Lepisosteus oculatus: one gene and its partner. The protein of the gene in region 1 purifies or fractionates together with the protein of each later gene. This does not show direct contact. Links are inferred from orthologs where the notes say so. Each region holds a gene or a part of one and is shown on either strand. Other genes may lie near its edges.

Evidence for each region.
Region 2: the proteins of itga2.2 (region 1) and integrin beta-1 purify together in Homo sapiens (co-immunoprecipitation; 3 studies listed by BioGRID and IntAct, with this or other methods). This does not show direct contact. The link is inferred for Lepisosteus oculatus from reciprocal best matches to the Homo sapiens genes ITGA2 and ITGB1.

The regions. Positions count from the first base shown.
Region 1 is NC_090698.1:38,755,821-38,763,617, reverse strand, and holds the start of itga2.2 (integrin alpha-2), read left to right. Parts: upstream 1-4,415; 5' UTR 4,416-4,568; coding exon 4,569-4,617; intron 4,618-7,797. UniProt on the Homo sapiens protein: Integrin alpha-2/beta-1 is a receptor for laminin, collagen, collagen C-propeptides, fibronectin and E-cadherin. It recognizes the proline-hydroxylated sequence G-F-P-G-E-R in collagen.
Region 2 is NC_090701.1:39,147,038-39,155,051, forward strand, and holds the start of integrin beta-1, read left to right. Parts: upstream 1-4,707; 5' UTR 4,708-5,063; coding exon 5,064-5,075; intron 5,076-5,333; exon of another isoform or gene 5,334-5,428; intron 5,429-8,014.

The sequences.
Region 1 (7,797 bases):
TGCATACTTCAAGTTCCAACTCCTCTCTTGTGGTCTGACCTTCTTTCTCTCCTCTCCTCCTCTTTCTCTTGTCTACCTTTCCTGCTTTTTTCATCTCTACTCCTCTTGTTGTCCCACTTTGTGGTCTTAATGTTATTTTATTTGGTGTACTGCTCACTGACAATCATTAACCCATGACTTAATTAGCCAGGTATACCAAGGTAAACTTTACAATTGCTTTTAATCAGGGGACCCCACATCTTGGCAAACATCCCCTTTGCTTTGTAGCCAAAAGTGTTTTCACTGCCAGGTGTCACAAACTTTCTAAACTCTTATAGACACTTCCTAGTCACCTATAGCTATAACAATATTTCCAATCATTATTTCCCTTTATTACTAAAGTAGCAATTAATACTTTTATACACATAACATCTTGCAAAAATTCAGAGCAATTAATTAAATAACATCAATTTCAATAACCATTGATCTAATTCAGGATTATGGAGGCGCAGTCTACAAAAATCAGCTACACCCTGGATGGGACACGAATAAATCACAGGGCACACATAGACACAATCACACTCATGCTCCACCTGGACCAATTCTTTACAGAAGCCAATTAACATACCAACATGTCTTTGAACTGTGGAAGGAAACTGAAGCACCCAGAGCAAACATAGGTAAAAACAGGTTGAACATGGAAACTCTACGCAGGTAGTGCCCTAGAAACTGAACCCAGACCCCTTACACTATGAACCAGCAATGCTTACTGCTGCTGCCCCCAAATTCAGAGCAAAAAAAAATAATAATCAAGAAGTAAATAAATAATACAAAAGGAATAGGTAAATGGAAAATTCAACCCCTTTTCTGTGGCAAACCTCCATTAAGGTGCAATAAATTAACTTAATGTGCCACACAATCAATTTAAAGCAAAGATTTAACCATGAAGACTAAGAAGCTTTCAAATAAACTTAGAGATAAAGTTGTAGATATGAACAGATCAGGAGAAGGGAATAAAAATATTTCAAGGTCTTTCTAGATCTGACTGTCCCTCCAAATTGAGCAGCCAGGCAAGGTGAAAACTGGTTAATGATGCAACTGCAATACAAATGGTGACTTTGATAGACCTACAGTACAGAGTTCAATGGTTTATATATGAGAAAATGTGCATGAGACAATACCCAGGTCACTCCAAAAATCTGTATTGAATGACAGAGAGGAAAACGCATCTTAAATCCCATTTGGAGTTTGCAACAAAGCATGTAAAGGTTTTGTGGTCCAACAAAAGATGAGAAAATTTGGTCTAAATGCAAAGTGTTACATTTGACACAAACACAACATTGCTCAGTTAAAACTATTCCATTTAGTCAAACATGGTGGTGGAAGTATTACGTTATAGTGTAGTTCTGCTTCTCATCTGGAGATACTGGGTAGCTTATCAAAGCTAATGTGTACATACTTTAAATGGAGCAATATATTGCTATCTTAAAGGAAAATGTGCTTCAGACCTAAAACTAAGACAAAAAATCATCTTTCAGCTGAATAATGATCCAAAGAACAATAGAGTGGCCCACTCAAAGACCCAATGTGAAACTTATTGAGAATCTTTGAATCTATGAACAGATATAAAAGCTGCTGTCCATGAGTAATCTCCAAGCAACTTGTGAGAGCTTAAGCAAATCTGCAAAAAATGGCCAAAAACTGATATTCAGCCATAATTGCTGCCAAAGGTGCTTCTACCATATATTGAGTTCAGTGGTCTGAATATTTAACACAGTCAACATATTCCAGTATTTCTCACTTTAGTTTTGCTAAACATTACTGTAACTTATCTTACCCTTAGAATTTTCCAGGTCTGAAACCTGAAATGATATTAAAAAAATTAAGTTTCAAATTTTGTCTGTAGTTTTGTAATTTCACAAAATGGGACACCATAGGAAGGGTTTGGTCTGTATACTTTACAAAACACTGTATCTTGCCTTGTATGCACTACACTGGATTCAAAGGACATAAGAAAATTTCACATTACAGAGCATAGTCAGGATAAGGTGTGGTAATTACAAATCACTTCTGGATGACACATATGTAACCACAGGCAGGCAGCAAAAACTATAATATTAAAGTAAGTATATTTTTCAAGCATGGCTGTAAATTTATGTTTTCTGTAATAGCAAATTACAAACATTGCCCTGGATTCACTCCCCCTGGACACCTGCACTCCTCGGACACACCCCCCGTCTCCTGACCCTTTTCCTGCATGACTATTTTCCCTATTGTATCCTCACAATTCCGGATCATGTCGTCCACATAATGCCCGGAAAGAACCGGATCGTGACGCAAACTACATGGAAGTCCATTTAAAACTGAAAAAGGGAGACACTTCTCTACCCATAGAGTCGTGGGAGAATAAGCTACCTAGCCATGTGCAGTAGTTGAAGCCAATACCCTGGTTTCTTTCAAAAAATGGCTGGGTGGGATCAATGAACTACTATCAACCAAATTGGACAGAGAGGCCAAAGGGCCTCCAATCATACAGTATGTTACCTTTCCTATGTATTTGCTGTAGTATGTTAATTAAATGCTTAAACACAAAGCCAGAATGTGTAAAAAAGTACTTTCTCTGATCTATTTATATATATGTAAACTTCTTTTTCTTATATTAATTACTGTATTGATTAATATGGGCTGTTTCACCCATAATGATTGGTATTGGCATTGGTTGTGTTTAATTCCTAAATTGTCTCAGTCATGAACATTCCTATCCCACCCACACAACCTTAGGTTTGCTGATCCACTATACTCAGTAATCAGTATTTTTAAACTTGTATTAACACGCATCACACAACAGACTGTGGCTCACAAGGCTTGAGGCCTTCATGCAAGAACACACTGTGCATTCCTTTAAAAAAGACATGAGGTATACAATACTATAAATGTAAAAACAACTGCAAAAATCAAATCGGACAGGTTTATACAATTGATCAGTTCTACATAATTTAATTTCCATTATCGCCATCCATTTCTTTTTCTTTAATGTGCATATGTTTCAGCTCTATTAATAATTTGAAATGATTTACTTGTTATGGAATGTAAAAGCAATTTAGTATGTTGTAAAGAAAAAAGCAACTCCTTCCATCTTAAGGTAATCTAATTATTGTATTTAAGCACAATTTTTCGATTGATACAAATAATAAATTACAAGGGAAACTTCTCATGTATTAATAATATCAGAAAGTTGTTTTAATCTTTTGGATTTCCCATATATTACAACAGCCAATTATGTTGATTGCTGTTACAATTATTCAGAAACGATTAAACTTGTATTATTACTCAAAAGAACATTCAATATATTCCCCTAAACCTATATAAAGTCTTCATTCTGGGAGGTCCTCTTTAGTTTTATGTTTTTACACATTTTGTAATTCTATGAATTGGTGTACAGTAATTTGCAGTTAATAGCCATATACAAACAGTACATACATATGCAGTCTTCTTCAGCGTTTTAGAATCTATTGTTAGATGATGTCCTTACTAAGACTTTTTTCTCAAACATCTCGTTTCAGTTAATCTCATCCGGTTGTCTCTAACCATTTTGCAGGAACTCTTCATGCTAATTTTTTATCTTGGAGAGTAGTTCGAATATTTCTCTGATCCCTAAAACAATTCATTCGTCTCGCTCTGTGTCCAGCTGTTGTATACTCTTATAGCTTATAGCTGTGCTATACTTTTTGTTTTACTTTTTCTTCTTGGTATTCAAAGTATTATTGAAATATAGCTGTGTTTTCTCTCTTCTCTTTTCAGCTTGGAATAAACCTATTACTTGTTCCTTTGCAGACGCAGCTACCCACCTTAAAATATAGCTGATCATTAGGGACTACCAGATGTAAAGTCAATAGCTTTGACGGTTTTCTTCTGACATTTAACAAGAATATATTTGTACAAAGTGTTTATGCCTATGTTTTACCTCCATTTTTGCAAGTAATTCATAACTGAGATAAAAGATCGATGTTTGCTCTGAAAATTAAAAGTATTAAATGGATACTTCTATATCTTTCAAAACAACCGTTTTGCATTCTACTCTTCAGGATTTCAATGTTATTTAAAGCCCCATACTGTTTAAGAAAGTCTAAACAAATATAACAAGGCACTCGTTTTATTATTTTTATGTAAAGGTTAGGTATTACAGTTTACAAATAACGCAGTATAGAACAAATACGTTTGTCCCACCTACAAATATTTGTCAATTGTTAGTTTATATGTCAGGTAAAAGACAGATTCCGACCGTCTTTAAAACTGAATGACCACTCCTTGAAACTGTCGAAAAAAATGCTGCTGTAACCACAGTCCAAGCACTTTATCGGCAAGGTGGTACTTTGTTGGTGACGTTAGGTTTTGAGGAAAAACACACCCCCTCACTAAAGCGGAAAACATGCAACTAAAGTTTATGAACCTTCAAGAAGTTTGTTAGAGTTCAGTCTGCTTAAGAATAGAGCAAGGAAACGCGCTACGACCACTTGAGCTATTTGGATTTCCTGATATTTTCCAGAGATTCTTCTTTGTTCACTTTGTGGAGTGTTGCTGTTATAGAAATGGATTTAATCAGGAGAAACATTCTATTAATTCTTCAGATAATTTTGAGTAAGTCAAGTTTTATACGTGTTTCTACATTTTCTTATGGTATAATACTTTAAAAGGTGAAATGATACAGCGCGTTATACTGTAGATTTTAATACGACAGACTTTTGTTTAACGAACATACATCCATGACTTGAACAGAATAAAGTTTCACAAAACTGGTAGTTAATATTTAAGCCTCAGTACATCTGCAGAATCTGCAGACAGATGTGTTTGCCCTTGGCTATGTTAGTCTGTTTAAAGATTTGACGCATATGTGCAGTAAATGTATCAATAGTGAATGTATACTGTTAATTTATTCGTCGTTTGATACATTAATGTCTATAGTGAATTTAACTGTCAAAGCCATCATATCTAAAAACATAATTGTGGCATTAGACATTTTATAAGGGTATGGTATATTTTGAAGTAATTTGAGTTTTTAATATATCATTTAAATGATGGGCACAATATTTTAATTGATGTGTTGCTTCTGAGTTGGCTTGCTAGCAAACCAGTTTGCAAGATAAATCCTGAAATGTGATAAGAGTACTGTGAAGGGCAGGAGATTCTGTTTGAATGCATTACACGGGAATCCATGCTATGTAAACAAAGGTTCTTAAAGTATTGTTTGCAATAATAAATGGGTTAAATCTGGTATCATGGCCAAATTCAGAACAGAGGCAAAGTCTAGCTAGCCTAAAGTCTTTTTAATGATCCAAATTAAAAGTACAGAAGTTTCATTAGAAAGACTGTTGTGAAGATATTTGGTATTCATGGTTCAATTAAGGTTCTATGTAGATTTTGTTTCTAGGCTATGTAAACCAGGAACTGCAGTTCCAGCTATTATTACCCATTATGCATTGTAGATCACCCTAAATTCAGAATTTATTTTGAAAAACAATACACTTGTGATGTACTGTTTCTGACATGAGCTTTGAATGACAATACAGTGTTAAAATAACACCAAGAGATCTGACTTCAGTAATGGGTTTAACTTTAGCACAACACTGAAGTTACCAACATTTATGTCAGAGAAGCTATATCTGAGTACGGGCACGGGGATAGGGTGTGCCTCTTGTAATAAATTTGGAATTTAAGTTATAATATAACAGTCTGACTGTAATCATTTACTGTATGTGTAAGACTGACTGCCTTAAATCCTATATAGGGCAGTTTATGTTTATAAGACTGTATATGAGCACTTAGTCCTAACTTCCTTCCTTTGTGCATCAGTTTATTGCAAACTCTTGTTAATACTCATTCATGGGATGTCAGGAGCCTAGTTAGGCTAAAGATGAGCACTTTATTCTACTACTGTATCAGAGTCACACGCATGCACAATTTATTAACTGATACTTTAGAAGTTTTGTACGAATTTTGTACGAATGAGATGTTGATATGAATAGGGGACAAGCTTGCCGACTGGGAAGTTGTATAATTTTATGTTAATCTGTTCACTAACCGACAAAAGCTGTGAAAGATATGGACCCACAGAACCATTCTAGCAATGCTATATTGCTATAATCAAATAAATGTACAAATCAGACATCAGTGATACTATGGCAGCTTATAAAGATAAGATTTCACATCAGCAGTTATTTTATATACAGTAGCTGTGCATATAAAAAATAAAACATGAAATTTAACATGAAAAAGCAACAAAGAAACCAATGATATAATGAAATTAATTAAATTATCATAACAATTTAAGGTTTGGCTAAAGCAATCTAAGCTGAAATGTAAAATGTCACATTCATGAAGAAATTGTCTATTTTACACTTTGTGGTTACAGATATTTGTAAATCAATTAATTGAGCTACTATTTAATAAAAAGAGAGGACACCTACACTTAACAACCTCTCCTTTCTGGCAGAGAATAAATGAGATCGTGTTAATATGCTCTCAGTTGCCTGTAATATCATTTTTTTGTTTTTGGTGTAATATGCTAAACACACATGCTAAGTGCATTTATATAGTTAATAACAGCATTATGAGTACATATACTCTATGTATATGTATCTGTATAAACTTCAGTGCGAGGCTATAAGTTACTGTATATCCTTGCATATTTTTTGCCTGGGAATGTTAATAAATAGAAATGCTAAGATGTTTGCCTATTGAATTTCTGACTTGCATACTGTATATGTAAAAGATCAAGTAATACTTTAATACTTTCATACTGAAAAGAGAAGAAAGAAAACACAATGTTGCGGCTGTGGAGCCTTCTTTGGGTGTGAGAAAGACTGGGCAGTCAGCAAAGATTAAATAGCATAGGACAGTTGTTCTGAAACTTTTTGGACCAAGTACAACCCCTGATCAAACCAAAGCATCCAAGTACCACCTACAAGTCATCTTCTCATAGGAACCCCAGAAATTCTCAATGACCAACATAAGCGTGCACGCGCACACACACTCATGCACACATATAATAAATATTATAATAATAAAATTTATTTGATTATAGTGCCTTTAAAGGTGGCTTCTTAAAGTGCTTTACAAAATGACAACAGGAACAATAATAATTAAAAATAAATGATAAAAAAGCACCATTTCAGCGAGAGGAGTGAGCCTGTTTAGTCGAGCAAAGCAGATGTGAATTCATTGGTCGAGCCTTGATACAATTTACAACAGAGTTTAACAGATTTCAAATCCTCTGGCATTTTCTTGACGGCCAAGGCTTCGCAGTGGGTGCTGCAGTGCGTCTACTTCATATCTGGAGCAAACTCTCTAATTCGTGCAACTACATCGCTGTGTCGGCTTGTCATCATTCAAGCACCATCTGTATAAACTCCGTGTCACGACCACCAGCCAGCGGAGATCATCTCGCAAAAGAACTAACCAGTACCAGCAGCGGGTTAATAATAATAACAAGCGCCGCCGCACGTGTTAATCCATCAGCATATACTCTACTGAGCAGTACTATTTAAACCATACTAACATGCTTTCTGCTGCTCGGTATTGAGTTAAGTCCCTGAGAGCTCTACCTGGCGATTCCTAAACCTTGTGTCACTCTGGATTTTGGACTACCCCTTTTGCCTTTTGACTTCTTACCTCGCCTCTTGATACAGATTGTTTGCCACCTGTGTTTGTCCTGAATTTCAACCTACCTTCTCCCTTTGCCCACGATCTCGCCTCTCGACTTGGATTGTTTGCCTCCGGTGTCTGTCTTGGATTTCGACCTTCCTTCCTCTCATTGACCAC
Region 2 (8,014 bases), on another chromosome or scaffold:
CTGGCATCAAAACAGATTATCATTGGTGCCTTCTCAAACCACATCTCTTTGCTCTGCACCTGCGATTCCTGCATCGTCTACACTGAAATAGACACTGAAATATAAATCTAGCTATTGCTTGATGTCAGCTACAAAAACATCTTTCATGTCCTACTGTGAGTTCTAAAGCCCTAATTACTGTATGTCTGTTATTTATCTTTCCCTTCAATCATGTTACCTTGTTGAACATCTATTCTACTCATTCTGCAACTTGAGCGGAGCTGTAATTCTTATTTTCTTATTTCAAAAGGTTGTGTACTAACATTTGGTGTTAATATTACTCAGTCTCTACATAGAGAAATCTATGTATTTTACCTCTTCACTATAAAAAGGGTCAGAAAATGCCATTCATGGTTAAATTAAGTGGAAACGTAACAGTATCACATGTGCTTGGATGAACAAAATAATATATATTGATGGAAAAAAGAAACGCAACATTTTGTGGAATGAGAATACTAAAGTTATAGTTTATGTACTTTCACAAAAAGGTGTCAATTTGTTTTAAGCCCTCTGACCAGCAATACAGCTTGTGCAGTGAGGCGTTGCAACTTGCCAATCACACAAAAGCTCGTTAGGAGTATTTTTACCCAACGAGGTCCACGTGGAACAATGCCTGATCAGGTCACCTTGAAAAAGGCATTAATTCAAAGCTTAGGTCACTGCAAGAAAAAGGCCACACTTAGTCAGTTTTCTGTGCATTCAATAAAGCCTCGAATGTCACCAGAAGCAAGGGAGAGGGCCATTGGCATGCTGCAGGCAGGCATGTCATGTGCCAGCGTTGCCAGACACCATGGAGTAAGCCGCTCCACTGTGTCCCGACTGCAGAGAAGGTTTCAGCAGACCAGGAGGACAGATGACAGTCCAAGACCTGGTCGCCCTCGAGTGACCACGCCAGAGCAGGACCGATACATCAGACTGGTCCATCTGAGAGATTGTTTCAGATCTGCAAACCGTACTGCTGCTGAAACTGCCGGCAGACACAATGCCCGCATCAATGACAGGGCAGTGAGGCTCCATGCTGCTTAGATCAAGGCAACCTGTCAGAGGCCCTCCGCTCACACCTCCTAGACATCACACCCGACTGGCTTGGGCCAGACAGAGGCTGCAACGGACTTGTCAGCAGCGGCATCAGGTCCTCTTCATGGATGAGCCACTCTTCAGTCTGTTCCACGCAGACGGGAGGGCCAGAGTGTAGAGGAGGAGGTGTTGCATTTCTTTTTTCCATCAGTATATAGTTCTCTACTCTTAATTATCTGTACTGCACAATTTGAGTAAGCTACAGAGCCAGCATCTGAAATTCGTATTTTTCCGAGGTATGTTTTATACATGTGTAATATTGTGAAATGCCAATGTGTCTCCAATGTCAAGAGAAAACAAGGTACTATCCAAAAACTGCTCAGAGCAATAAACTATAATAATCTTATAAAAGCTTCTTCAACCTTCACTAGTAGAATTCAGGTGGGAGCTAAAGCTGTCTCATCAGACTATACTAATAGAATTCAGATAGCAGCTAGAAGTACTTCATCGGACCACACCAATGGAATCCAGCTGTACTGCAGCTGCTTTATCTGACAGCACAGTTAGAATTTGACAGAATTAGGGTAAGGTAAATAAACACAGCCCAGGTAGTCAAAGAACAGTTAACCTGGGCAACAAATGAACCACAGAAGACAAAAATAAAATGTAAACCACATGTAATATTACAAAAATGACATAACCAGATGTGGAATCATCATTATCATCAGCATTAAATTCCAGAAAAGTTCTGGTTTGTTGCTACTGATTACTTTTTAATGTTTTGCAACATGTGAAGTTGTGTTTGTAATGAGAAGAAAGGGATTCATTTGTGATGACATGCAACTCCTGTCACACTGACTTTGTGCCAGTTGTAAATAAGCAATGGAGACAATATACAGTAGTCTAGAAGGGTCAAACTGATCATAATGTGTTTTGAAGCATGCAATTGATTTCCACCCAAATTATATCACTATTAAAGTGTTCACACAAGAAAATGTTATTTGCTTGAAGATAATTCCATGCTAGCATGCTTCATACTAACAAGGGGGGCATCTATGATGTCCTGAGAGCTTGAAGTAAAAGTGTTAGGAAATACATCTGTACTGTATTACAAAAGCACAAAGAATTTGGTTTTAGGGGAGGAACAGAGGAATGAGACTGAGAACAGCAATTCAAAAGTATGTGCAGAACAAATAAAAGATTAGTCCACACTGATGAGTAGAAAGAAGAAACACAACATTTCAGCAGTTGAGCCTTCTCCAGCCTTCTCCTTCACACATGAAGAAGGCGAAACATGAAGATGAACCATTGTGTTTTGTCTGAATTAGTTCACTAACTAGAACTGAATTGAGATTACTGACATAATTGAGGAAAACTGGGGCTCCAAATACTGATCCCTGAGGTACTCCAATTGGAGCATTTACCAATTAGCTCTAATCTCTGTTTCCTGCCTATTCACCAGTTCTTACTCAAAGTACATGCATTACCTTGAATCTTTGTCATATGCAATTTAAGAATTTATCTTTTATGATCGTTTTCGACAACCTTCTGAAATTACAAATGGATGATACCATAAGCTCAGTTTCTATCCATTATTGCTGTTGCGCTTCATAAGAAAGGGTTTCTAAGAAAGCAACATCTTGTAAGTTAGTCTTTTGCATTCTGGAGAATGGACAATTTTCACCAGACTAAAAAAAAAGGTTGCTATATAAACAATTATGGGCGAGGCAGAAGTAGGAAGAACAAAGATATCAACATCAAATATCTCATTTTAAAGGAAACAGTGAAGAGGGATTTTTAAGATATGAATTGCAATTGAAACTTAAGATAAAGAATCACAACATTTCTAGAATGAGAACTGTTATACAAGTAGGTCAAAATGGAAAAACAAAATGCCTTAATGTTTACACTTCTTAGTTCCAAGAGTATACAGTATGAATGGAGAAATCTATTGTACTATGCTGGGTATAGAGTATACACTACAATATAGATGTTCTAAAGTTCATGTCTTGGGTTCTTTTCCCGGTGAATAAATAAGAAACACACTGACATACACAGTAAAGGAACAAGTAAAGGTTTATTCCACGCTGAAAAGAGAAGAAAAGAAACACAACAAAGCACTGCAAAAGGTAAAACGTATCACAATTTGTGACACTGTTTTGACTTACGAGAGTACGAGTAAAACATATTGTAACCAGAATAAATGAATATGGTTTTGGAGTCTTTTTTTTCTCTTTATGGAAGAATTGCTGCTTGCTAACATGATCTTATAAGATTTCAAAAGCGAAGCAGGGTTGGGTTTGCTCAGTATTAGGATGGAAAACGACCTCTAGGGAACAAAAGGACACTCATAGCCCGGTGGGCAGTTCTGTTCCTTGAGCAACAGAATTTCCTATCCAATGCTTCTGTGTGGCCACTGTGCTGAAGGAAGTATCATCCTTAGGGAGAGATGTTAAACTGAGCTCCTGACTTCTTGATCATTAAAGATCAAATGGCACACTGAGTGAGACTTCTTCATCAGCTGTGTAGTGGGACTGCTAACACATAATGGCTGCCATGAGTCAACATGAGCACTGCACTGCAGTGGTAGATGAAACTCTCCTCTCTCATCCTAGCGTTAATCCCGCATCAGCAGGGTCCGCTTGTTGGCACCCCTGTCTCCATTTGGTGGTTTGAACCTAATCTTTGAGCTGACGTTGCCGTTAAATGCGACCGAGAATACTCCAACCGGCGCGTCGCTCTGCCTGCCGTCAGAGGGGGGAGGAGAACAAAGTAATGTAGCCAATTCATAGAGGGGGATTATTAGGAGACATGGGGAATTTGGCCAGGACGCCGGGGTTACACCCCTACTCTTCTCGAGAAACACCCTGGGATTTTTAATGACCACAGAGAGTAAGGACCTCGGTTTTACATCTCAACCGAAAGACGGCGCTTATTTACAGTATAGTGTCCCCGTCACTATACTGGGGCATTAGGACCCATATGGACTGCAGGGTGAGCGCCCCCTGCTGGCCTCGCAGTGGTAGATTAAACTGTTGCCCTCAAATATGTAAACATAGATAATACTTTATTAATCCCATAGGAAAATTGATGAAATTGATTAAACATACTCTTTTGGGAAAAAACACATACAAAAGTAAGGAGTTCTTATTAGAAAACGTGTTTGCTTTGAATTACAACAAAACCTATATTTCCAAGAATATTAAGAAGTGCAAGATTGGTATACAGCATGGTGTGTCATATTCCGATTGATCACTCTCACTGTTGCTTTATCTTTTATTTGTTGCTTTATTGGTTTGGAGGACCAAGAAAAATCGCAAAAAATACCCAATGCAGAGTGATTAAATAAAGAAGTTAACATAATACAATAACAGATACAACACTAGGCACAGCAATTTATACGGTAACCGGATAGTGAATCTATTATTTTCACTTCATATTTTCAATCAGAATCATACCATAATGATGTAAGAGCAACTGAACTGAGGTTATGCGCATTTACAGCTACAATGAAATGCAGAATTTTGGCTGTTACATGCGCGTACCCAGATTTCCGAGTTTTCCCAAGGACAAACCTAGCGGAGCTCATAGCGAATGCGTACAGGTCGAGCTTGTCCAACGATGACGTGTTCGGTATTTCCTGTGGGGGCGGGTCGAAATACAGAGGATGGCCTCCTCTCTTTCTTGTAATCGTGGGAGGGGGTTAGCACGGCTTTAAGGTCATTTTTCATCGTGTGGGGATTTTGTAACTTTTTTAAAAAATACAGTTTTCTTAATAACCAGATCGTGTTGTTGGGCGTAGGTAAAGAGTCTTTTCGTCTGAAGGGTGTAAAATGGAATAAGAAGACAAAGGGGACACATTTTTTGTTTGTTTGAGAAAAGTAGAGAACTAAAGCTTGTTTTTTTGTAGTAAAGGGGAGAGATCAGCTGGATATTTTTGAAAGAAGTGCGAAGGACCATCGATTCCACATATGCTGCATTAAAAACGAATGGTTTAGGTTCGTTCAATGCGTTTTAAGGTAAGGAGGTGTCAATGTCTGCTTAAAGTGCTTGTATGGATATGAGTTTTCGTCTTGTAAACTCGTAAGCCAGTGATGCATACCTGGTGTGTTATATACATATTTGCCGTGTGAATGAAAATGTCATGGTGGGTTTTATGCGGGGCTTTGTGTTGAACTCGGGCGCATGTCTGCACAAATCTTCTTGCCCTGAAGTCCTGGAATGTGATTTGTATATTTTGCGGTGGGGGTGGGCGGGTGGAAGAGCCGTAAACGCCGATTCTACGGTGGTTAAAAGTATTGTGGGATAAAACTGTGTCGTTAGTGCAATATTGCAGCTTTCCCCCCTGTGTTGTATCGACTGTCTGTATGGGGTGAGTACATCCGCTATCCGGTATCGGGGAGGCGCTGGCCCGGGCCCGCATTCCCGGCGGAGAACAGCAGGGAGAGACCAAGTCTTTCTTCGGGAGCCGATCCCCGGATAACGCCACAAAAAAAAAAAAAAGACGACAGACTGGCTTCTCGCCTCGATTCACTTCATGTTTGTAAACCCCATCAAGTGTTTTCCGCGAAGTATACGAATGAAAGATCTTGACCTGCCCTGCAGTAATAAGTTTCCAGAGGGAAACTGGGATGTGTGTTTTACATTTGCCCCTATGGACAGGGTTTTCTTTTTTTCCCCTCAAACTTGTGAAATGTCCTTTTACAGGCGTTGCTTGTTTCCCCCTCTTTTTGCGAATACATCTCGAATTAGTAAATGGTTGAAATGCAGCGTTTTACTACGTTTTTACGCGTTTTTTCTGAAAGTAATAGCCTCTGGCTACAGCTAATTTAGGGAGTGCCTCGTTAGCCAGCAACAGTGCTCCGATTGAGGTTTGAGCTTAGCTCTGCGGCTATTTTTTCAAACCTCTTATTTAGGCGATGCCAGGCGGCTGGGAGAGCACAAAGGAGATGGCGCGTCCGGACGGCCCAAGGAGCAGGCTCTCGAGTTATTCTTGGCACTTAAAGCACTGACAAATAAGGCGAGCTGACTGTTCCGGGGGGGAAAAACACTCTCGGGAACGTACCCGTTTGAGGATACTCGAACGTGGCATTTTCGGTTTTTAATTTTAAGGGAGCGTTAGACGGAGAGGCTGGATTTTTGTATCCCACGTTTAACTCGACGCTCGGAATTTTCTGCCTTAAAAAAAGTAGAAACGCTCGCCGTAAAAGTGGTTAGATCTCACCTTTTTTATTTCGGCAGACTGACCTCATTGCGAAAACAAACGCGGTGGTTAGGAAGACATGCGGCTTAGTTAGACCACTTCCTTATCGCTGGGGTCTCAGGATCAGGGGTTTCAGTAGCTCTAAACTTCTTACTGTAGTCTTGCTGTATGTAGCACCGGTTTTGCTCCATAGAAGTCTGACCATGTGGTCAATTTTCACTTTCTCCATACCACTCAGTTAAGCTTTGTCTTCCTGAAGTTGAGGTGGAATGATCTTTGCCTTATCAGATGTGCAGAATACACATAAACCAAAGATACTTTAGTTATTTTGGTTTACTGTAAAAAAACTTTGGAACAATGACTGCCTGGGTCTTTGGCCTTAGAGGTGTAATGTCCATTGTATATACGCTTCAAAAATGGGCTCTCTTGTTTTTAAATATGACACTTTTTTCATGTTTCTGAACTCGGTATTTAATTAGGTGTTATAATATGTAATTTATCATGGCACATAGAAACACCTGGTAATCATTTAGGTAGTAGGCCGAAGATCTTCTCACTCCTGACCATAATTTGTTTTGTAATCTGGAAGCCATTTGGCCCCTCTTGCTTGTTTGGTAGTGAGTAGCTAATTTATGTGAGGGTTCTTGATATTGGCTTTAAAAGCCCGACAGGGTAGCTTTTTTTAGACTCTCACAAGCCTTGTTGTCTTATGCTGCAACATGGCCTTTCTCACAGGTTAAATTGTGTTGTTTCTGTCGTTGTTTAAATTATATACATAAGCACTGTACACTGTCGGTGTAATTCCCGACAGGATAAACTGCCGCACCGTGGCTAAGGTATTGATGTCTTTTTCCCAGCAGTTGGTTGGTTAACGAGAGTACCCGGTGATCACCTCAGGGCTAACATATTTGGGCGCCGGATGCTTGTGGTTGCAGCCACTGTGCATGAAACTGTGCCAGGCTAGGTGTGCCCCCTTGCTTATTCATTTCCAAAGTACAGCATAGCTCAAGGGTGTGTTACTCTATATGTTGCAGTAAGGCGCATCTGTAAATGATTAGCAGAACTGCGAGCTACAAGCATTTATCAAGTATCTGCAGTGCTATTTCCGAATATAAATATTGTCGCCATGTGGTTATCTTTCTCAGGAGAACATAAATAATTCATATGCTGTAGGAACAGTCATTTTCCGCAATACATTTTTTGTCCTCTGCGTCCAGACTGATATTTAGTCATATCCTAGTCCGCCTTGTTTACTGTTTGAGTGAAAGATTGAATTTATTTCCTCTTTAATGTTTATTATATATTTTTTCGGCTGACTTCTTTAAATGAAACTATTAAAAGGCAGTCTTCTGTTTTACCATTTTTGACACAATATCTTGAAGGGCATTGGTTGTCGTGAGACAGACTTTTCATAGTGCCTTTAACACAGTGAAGAAAGCAGACATTTCTTATGTTTATCTTTTGATTAGAAAGAAGGATTTAGGGGACTATGAAAGGTTATGATTTCTGTAGTAAGAAATGGAATGGTATGTGATCATTTGCAACCAAACGATGAAACTGAAAAAAAAAAGTGAGTCGTACAATTTATGGAGTTACAGGACGGTCCCCAAGGGATTTGTGTGGGGTTAGACGACACAATAAATCTAGCTTCTGTCCTCATCCTAGCTCTGGTTATCCATTTCTTTTCAGGAATTTCTGTAGTTCTTGTCTGGGCCTTTAATCTAATCTTGTTCTCCTTTAAGACTGATACCACTG